Ovis aries: one gene and its partner. The protein of the gene in region 1 purifies or fractionates together with the protein of each later gene. This does not show direct contact. Links are inferred from orthologs where the notes say so. Each region holds a gene or a part of one and is shown on either strand. Other genes may lie near its edges.

The links.
Region 2: the proteins of PKN3 (region 1) and ARHGAP26 purify together in Homo sapiens (affinity purification with mass spectrometry; 3 studies listed by BioGRID and IntAct, with this or other methods). This does not show direct contact. The link is inferred for Ovis aries from reciprocal best matches to the Homo sapiens genes PKN3 and ARHGAP26.

What each region holds. Positions count from the first base shown.
Region 1 is NC_056056.1:7,683,796-7,687,295, reverse strand, and holds part of PKN3 (serine/threonine-protein kinase N3), read left to right. Parts: intron 1-468; coding exon 469-615; intron 616-701; coding exon 702-811; intron 812-921; coding exon 922-1,065; intron 1,066-1,489; coding exon 1,490-1,565; intron 1,566-1,641; coding exon 1,642-1,810; intron 1,811-2,006; coding exon 2,007-2,109; intron 2,110-2,218; coding exon 2,219-2,286; intron 2,287-2,604; coding exon 2,605-2,668; intron 2,669-2,798; coding exon 2,799-2,890; intron 2,891-3,269; coding exon 3,270-3,446; intron 3,447-3,500.
Region 2 is NC_056058.1:51,459,780-51,463,906, forward strand, and holds the start of ARHGAP26 (rho GTPase-activating protein 26), read left to right. Parts: upstream 1-1,327; 5' UTR 1,328-1,672; coding exon 1,673-1,826; intron 1,827-4,127. UniProt on the Homo sapiens protein: GTPase-activating protein for RHOA and CDC42. Facilitates mitochondrial quality control by promoting Parkin-mediated recruitment of autophagosomes to damaged mitochondria.

The DNA of each region.
Region 1 (3,500 bases):
CTGCCCTTGGAGGGACAAATCTCTACTGATCCTCAAAATGAACCCACTTGGTTGGCAAAACACAGTGGTACCCACGGCAGGAAGTGGGGCTGAGTTGGCACTCCTTCCCACTATATGGACGGGGAAGCAGGCCCTGGGAAGAGGTAGCTGGCCAGGCACCCTGCTCCTCTGGGGCTTTCGTCCCTGACATGGTGCTCCCTAGGTCCAGAGCCCTGGGCAGCATGCGGACTGAGATCTGAGTCTGACTTCTCTGCCTCTGTGTCCCTGCTTCTTCCCACATGTAGAGGGCTGGCAGGAGGGGGAGGACCAGTTGGTCGGCCCCCAGGGTGGCCCCCAGGTGGCTGCCGAGGCCTAAGGCGAGCAGGCTCTGGGTTTGCTACCTCCATGAGAAGGCAGCATTCCTGGGGTCCCAGCGACCCCTTGGAGGATGGTGTCCGATGATGGCTCCTCCACCACACTCCCCGACAGGGACGCTGCAGGTCCGCCTCCTGGGCTGTGAGCAGCTGCTGATAGCGGTGCCTGGACGTTCCCCCGCGGCCGCGCTGGCTGGGAGCCCCTCCCAAGGCTGGCTTCGGAGCAGAGCCAAGCAGCAGCGTGGTGGAGGCGAGCTAGCTAGTGAGTAGGGGCCCCGGGGAGCTGGGGAGCGTGAAGGTCCCCCCACCACTGCTGGCCTGCCCTGAGCCCCACCTCTGGCCTTGCAGGTGAGGTGCTGGCTGTGCTGAAGGTGGACAATCGCGTTGTGGGCCAGACAGGCTGGGGGCCTGTGGCCAAGCAGTCCTGGGACCAGACCTTTGTTATTGCCCTGGAGCGGGTGAGGCTGCCCTTGTGTGGACTGGGGTGATCGTGGGCAGCGGGGTGGAAAGCTGGATGGGTAGTAGCTGGTGCCAGGCTCCCCTAACTCAATTTGGCCTCCCTGTGTAGGCCCGGGAGCTGGAGATTGGGGTCCACTGGCGGGACTGGAGGCAGCTGTGCGGTGTGGCCTTCCTGAGGCTGGAGGACTTCCTGGACAATGCCTGTCACCAGCTGTCCCTCAGCCTGGTACCACAGGGACTGCTTTTCGCCCAGGTGCCTCCCGGCCCCTGCCCTCTGACCTCACGGGCCCTTGGCTCTGTTAGCTCGAGAGAGGCCTTGGAGACTGTGCCCCCCAACCAACCTACAGCTAGGAGTGGAAATTGAGGCCCTGAGGGAAGAGCTCTCCAGGGATGAAAGATTCCCAGCCGCTCTCTGAGGACTTCACAGGAGAGGAACGGCCTCTCCTTGTCCTGACCGCCCCACCGCATGCACGACCCTGGACAAGTCCCTTTTTCTCCAGGTCTCAGTTTCCCCCTGGTACCAGTGAGGATGCCGAATCCATTCTCTCTGAGTCCCTGTAGCTCTTGCATCTGTTGACAACGGGCTTAGGCTGGGATCCTGGAGGCCGAGGAGGTTCCCGGGACAGGTCGGCAGGTGGGAGGGGACTGGTCTTCAGCCCTGCCCCCTGCCTCCACAGGTGACCTTCTGTGACCCTGTCATTGAGAGGAGGCCCCGACTGCAGAGGCAGAAACGCATTTTCTCAAAACGCAGAGGTATGGAAGGCTGGCGAGCAGGGAGCAGGGCTGGGCCCCTCCGGAGACCTCGAGACTGAGCCTGCTTTTGCCCCAGGTCAGGACTTCCTGAGGGCTTCCCAGATGAACCTCAGCATGGCGGCTTGGGGGCGCCTGGTCATGAGCCTGCTGCCCCCCTGCAGCTCCCCAAGCACCATCAGCCCCCCGAAAACATGCTCCCAGACCCCAGCCACACCCCAGCGGGCCACCGATCCTGACTCGCCCAGGTGAGGGGCCTCGCTCACCCCAGGCTGCCTGCTTCTCTGCGGAGTCACCTCTCTCCAGACTCAGATGGTGCCTGCCCCATGGCTCACCCTTTGACCTGTCTTTCTGTCCCGCGTGGCTGTGTGTCTACCCCTGCCCTCCCTGCCCGCCACTGTTCCAGCTGTCTGTGCCCGGTATATGTCTGCTTCTACCCCACAGTAACTTCCCACCCAAGAAGACCCCCTTGCGAGAAGAGATCCAACCCCCACCCAAGCCCCCTCGCCTCTACCTGGCCCAGGAGCCAACCCCCGAAGAGATGCCGGTGAGGGGGCAGCAGGGCAGGATTGGTCACCCTGGGTGCTGCCCAGGTCGGGTGGCAGGGCTCGAGGGAAGGAAGCCCTGCTCTGCCTTGAGATCCTCTCCCCTCGCAGCGCACCAAACGCCCCCACATGGAGCCCAGGATTCGACGTGAGCTGCCTCTGCCAGCCCCGGCTACCAGGTACCCCAGCAGGCTCACCTCGGTGTTTGAGACATTTTATCCACTCATCTGGGTATTTGCATGTCAGATGTTCACATCTCACCCCAGGCTCCTTGGCTTGCTCTCAGGTTCTCACTCGCTGAACCCACATTATTGAGCTCAGCCTGCCTGCCAGACCCCAGGAAACTGCAGTCCTGGGAACCCTGCCCCACCCCGGGCTCTGCAGCTCCCCACTAGAGGGGGACCACCCAGGATTGAACACAGGGGGTTTGGAGTGACTCCTGGTGGAGGCCCAGCCCTTCGTTGTCCTGGGGGCTTCCTGTACCCTCTCTCTTGCAGGAAACCCCCCCGGCTTCAGGACTTCCGCTGCTTGGCCGTGCTGGGCCGAGGCCACTTTGGGAAGGTAAGGGGCTAAGGGAGTGGGCAGGCCCCAGAACATTTGCTAGAGGGCTCTGGGCTCTGGGGGGCAGTGGGCAGGAGAAGCAGACTCCTCTACTGCCCTCCTGGAGCCCAAACCTCTCTCTGGTCCCCAGGTCCTCTTGGTCCAGTTCAAGGGGACGGGGCAATACTATGCCGTCAAAGCACTGAAGAAGCAGGAGGTGCTGAGCCGGGACGAGATTGAGAGGTGTGTGTTGAGGCTGGGGGGCTCACTGGTGGCTCCAGAAGGCAGCTAAATGCTGCTGGGGCTTCGAAGAAGTGACCCTGTGGGGCCAGCCAGGCCTGGGCTCTTTAATTAGCAACTGCAGTTGTGAACTGTGTGCCCTTGGGCAGGTCTCCTCTCTGTGCACCTCAGGTTCCTCATCTGTGAAATGGGAACAGGGTGGGGGTACAAGTTCGAGACCTGTGCCAGCCCCGGGTACATATGAACCGTCACTCTACCTGCCTGGCAGTTTTAAGAGCCAGTGGCCCAGGGGAGTTGTGTGGGTGGCAGGGCACAGCCAGGGGAGGTCTTAGTTCCCTTTTGGGTTCCCTCTTTGCCTAAAACCCACGCCCTCCTCTTGCAGCCTGTACTGTGAGAAGCGAATCCTCGAGGCCGTGGGCTGCACAGGGCACCCGTTCCTGCTTCCCCTCCTCGCCTGCTTCCAGACCTCCAGCCACGCCTGCTTCGTGACCGAGTTTGCACCCGGCGGTGACCTCATGATGCAGATCCATGAGGACGTCTTCCCTGAGCCCCAGGCCCGGTGGGTCCCCCTCTCACCTCTTCCCACCAGCCTTCCCTGGGCCCCCTGTCCCTG
Region 2 (4,127 bases), on another chromosome or scaffold:
CACTAACCAGTAGCAGACAGGTTCATTCTGTGTTATTCATCTTCGCATCTTTAGTATCTAGTCTAGTGCCTGCACATAGCAGACCTATGTAAAAACAAAAACAAAGACAACCAAACAAACAAAAAACAAGCCACATACACACACACAAAACCACCTAACTGGAGGGCTCCTCCTTCCTAGACATACGAATAATTTATTCAAAGACAGTCCCTTTCCTCTAGCACTTCATAGTTCAGCACTGGACACTGTGGGATCCAGACTGACAGGTGCAGTTAGTGAGCTGCCTGGATTGATTACTGTGGTGGAACCCAAGGGCAATAGGGCAACACATTACAGGAAAGTGGAAAGTGGAGAAAGACACGGGAACGGATCCATTCGTTTATTCCACAAATCCTTATCAATCGCCGTTGCACATATAGCACAAGGGAAGCGCTCAGTATCTGTTACTAGATGCCAGCCACTGTTCTAGGCGTTAGGGATGCCGCAGCGCACAAGAAAGCGGCGGTGGCTCATTTCGTAGTCTTGAAGCTCACAGTATTTATTGCAAAGGACTACAGGCAGTGGACGTAATTATGTAAAATTGTGTGAGGTGCCCAGCAGGAAAACAGGCGGCTGAAATTCTTGAAAGGATGTTAGATCTTTCGGTTGGGGGCAGCCGTGGGCGGGTTTTGAGCAGGAGTGGCCTTGAGGGGGCCGGACTGTAGGGGGCGGGAAGACTGCAGGCCAGAAGAGCTGGTAGTTTTAAGATGTAAGTATGTTTTGCTTGAGTGGAAGAAGGAGCTTGTGTCTAGGGGCGACGTGGTCGCTTGGTACGCTCGGGGTTCTCCTGGGACGTGCGCGAGTGCTAAGTCGCTTCAGTTGTGTCCGACTGGGGAATGCATTTTGAGTGTAAGCACGATTGCCTCAGCCTTAGGGGAACTGCAGCCCTAAATTCCTAGATTTTTCATGTTCGGCACATCTAGGCTCCTCCGCTTCCCAGATATGCAGACGCACCGTCTCCGGCTCGGATCCCGGCCGCTGCGCTGGCCCATTCGGCAGCAATCTTCGTTCCTTCCCGGCTCCGACTGTGCAACCCAGAGCAGACGGGAGAGGGCGGAGCTTGTGCTGCGGACCTAGGCGGTGGCGTGGGCCACGCCCCCGACTTAGACCCCGCCTCTGGACCCCGTTGATTGGGTTATGGTCGCGGAAGGGCCGGGCATCCTCGGAAGGCCCGTGGGTAGGGCTGAGACGGGGTTCTGATTGGCTTGGCTGGGATTAGGTCATTGCTAGCAGGTTCGTCCGGCTCGGACGCCGGCTGGGCGGCCGAGGCTGCTGTGAGAGGGCGCTCGAAGCTGCAGGAGAGCGAACTGGCGAGGGAGGCGGGCAGGCGGCTGCTGCACTCGCTCGACTGGTCGTTCCCTTCCCGTCGCCGCTGCGGGTCCTCAGCTGCTCTTCCTGCTCCGCGCCCTCTCGGTTACACGCCGTTGGAGCAGACGCTCTTCGTTCGCCTCCAGGCTCTGTTCAGGAATCGTGCGCGCCCGCGGACACCGCGCTGAGACCGAGCCGGCGCCACACCTGTGGAGCCGGCGGCCGTCGGGGGTGCCGGCCAGGGTCTCGCCGCGTGCGTGCTCCGGGCTGCGGGCCGCCGGAGCCCTGGGGGAGGCGCGCCCCCCGGCTGGGCGCCGCGGACACCATGGGGCTGCCCGCGCTCGAATTCAGTGACTGCTGCCTCGACAGCCCTCACTTCCGAGAGACGCTGAAGTCGCACGAAGCGGAGCTGGACAAGACCAACAAATTCATCAAGGAGCTCATCAAGGACGGGAAGTCACTCATCAGCGCGCTCAAGAGTGAGTGCCCGGGAGCCTGGCGGGGACGGTGCTCCGGGGCGGGAGGGGCCGTCGGGCGGCGCTCAGACCTAGGGGTCCCGCGCCCGGCTGGATTTCTGCCCCCGGGCGCTGAGGGACGGGCGTAGACCTTTGTCGCGAAGCGGAAAGGATACGTAAAATGGGCGAGCTAGCAACAAGACAGTGAAGGCAGAGACCCGTCACCCGGCCGTTTGCGTTCCGAGGGGACTGGGAGGTGACCGAGCGCGAGTAGCGCTCTGGGGCGCCGCGGGTGGGTGTGCGCGTCACACAGGTGTCTCAGGAGTGGGACTGGAGTGCCTGGAGCACCGTAGCATATTGGGAAACCCCTTCGCGTCCACGACTCCGGCTTCCTTGGGGGAGAGTTGCTCACCCCTGAGTGCCCAGCCGTGGGAATGGAGCGTGCCCTGCCAAGGGGGCGCTGCCTCCCCTCAGGAAAAGGCGGGTTGTGCCTGCTTCACTCCCGCCTGCTCAGGGCCGCCGGGGTCTCCGAGAGATCTCCTTCCCTTCCCAGAAAAGGGCTGGGTAGGGTGGTTGGTCAGCTCGCGATTCTTTGGAATAGTGGCAGCTTTTAACCCACCAGATCTAGAATCAGGGCCACGTACGTGTGCAGGTTCTGATTCTTGTGTTTAGCAGAAGGTGATAGGGGTGGGAGTACAGAATCAGAGTGTTCCTTTACTCTAAACTGTGGGCGAGGGTTTAAAAATAGAACGAACATATCCTCTCCCTCTCTCGCTCCCTCACTCTGCTTTTTTTACCTCTCCCAATATCCTTGAAAACTCAAAGGTTTGGGAAGGAATGTCCTCGATCTTCGCTCAGAAAGAAGTTTAAACTTATCCTTAGAGATTTTCGAACCTTTTGCAAAACCATTTTTGCAAATTTCCCTTTGGCAGGGGAGAAATGAAATTTACATTCTGTGTATGATTTCCCTTGTCATTTGCAGAGCCAGAGAGTGTCTCCTTCTGGCCAAACGAGTGCTCTAGGGATGGATGCCTTGGATTGCTGAGCTCCTTTTTTTGGGTGCCTTTCCTGTCTACCCATTTAAGAATAATTTGGTCCATCTTTTATTTTTAAGAATCAGAAATAACATAAAGGCAGATAGTGGAATTGTCTTTCACTTGACTTTTCCTTTCTCTTTGCTGCATTTCTTAATAGGTGATATCTTTCAACTAGGAAAGCTTGTCTTGGCAGAGTGCAGCCGTGGGCCTGAGAATTGTCACCAAGTCTCTTTGAAGGAGACTTAAAGTCAAGTGCCTGAGATGTCATTTTGTGAGCCTGTTGTTTCTAAAGATGAAGAAGACAGAGGAGCCCCAGGGCAGCAAGTGGTAGTCTTTTGAGGTGAAATAAAAGTAGAACTTTGGTGTGCTGAGGCTCTTCAGAGGCAGGGTCTCTGTTGGAGGTTGTGACCAGAAGCAAATGAATAGACTCTTCTTTTGTTGATGACCAGGGCCGTCCTTAGAATATGTGACCCCTAGTTTGGACTAAGTTAGGGGCTCACTTACAGGTTGGGCCCACACATTTTGTTTGAATCTCAGACTGGCTTTAATTGGGCCTCTGCTTTATTCAGCAAACATCTGGAGTGCCTGCTGTGTGCTCGATATTACCCTGGGCACTGAGGATGTAGTAGTGACTGTTCTGTTGTTCCTGTGGCTGTGGAGACTTACTCCAAACTAGGCACTGCTTCACCCACAAATTATCTCACGTATTATAACTCATCTTTCAAATGAGAAAGCAGGCTTGAAAGAATCACTGGCTGAGAGTCTCACCGCTCTAAGAGCAGGGCTGTTTTTGTCTCCCGCAGGGTCTGAGCCAGAGATGAAGTTCCTGCTGATGTTGAGCTCTTAATTCTGTCTCATTCCTCTTGCCCAGAATGGAGCCCCTGGTCCGAGAGTGTTGGAATTTGGACTTGCATTTTGTATCTTAGCCTTGAGTCTGAGGAAGATGCCTTTATGTGATTGGCAGTTTATCTGCTTGCCACTATTTTTAAGGTGTGTATGGGGGAGGAACTTAAGAATTCTTTGGGTAGGAGGAAACAGTACAGGTGATAAAGAGTTTTTTAAATTGTCTAATGAATGGACCAGCTCTATAACTTGGGGGAGAGCTAGGTGTTCTAATCTCTTAATATCTAGCTCTATTACTAACTATTCTCTTCTACTCTTATTAGTGCTTGAACAGGTGCCACATGCCCTCTTAAAGAGGGTGGAGAGGATTATTAATTCCTGAACTTCAGGCATTGTGTTATCATTGGGTCCTTCTTGCATGGTATATTACTATGCTAGTATATGT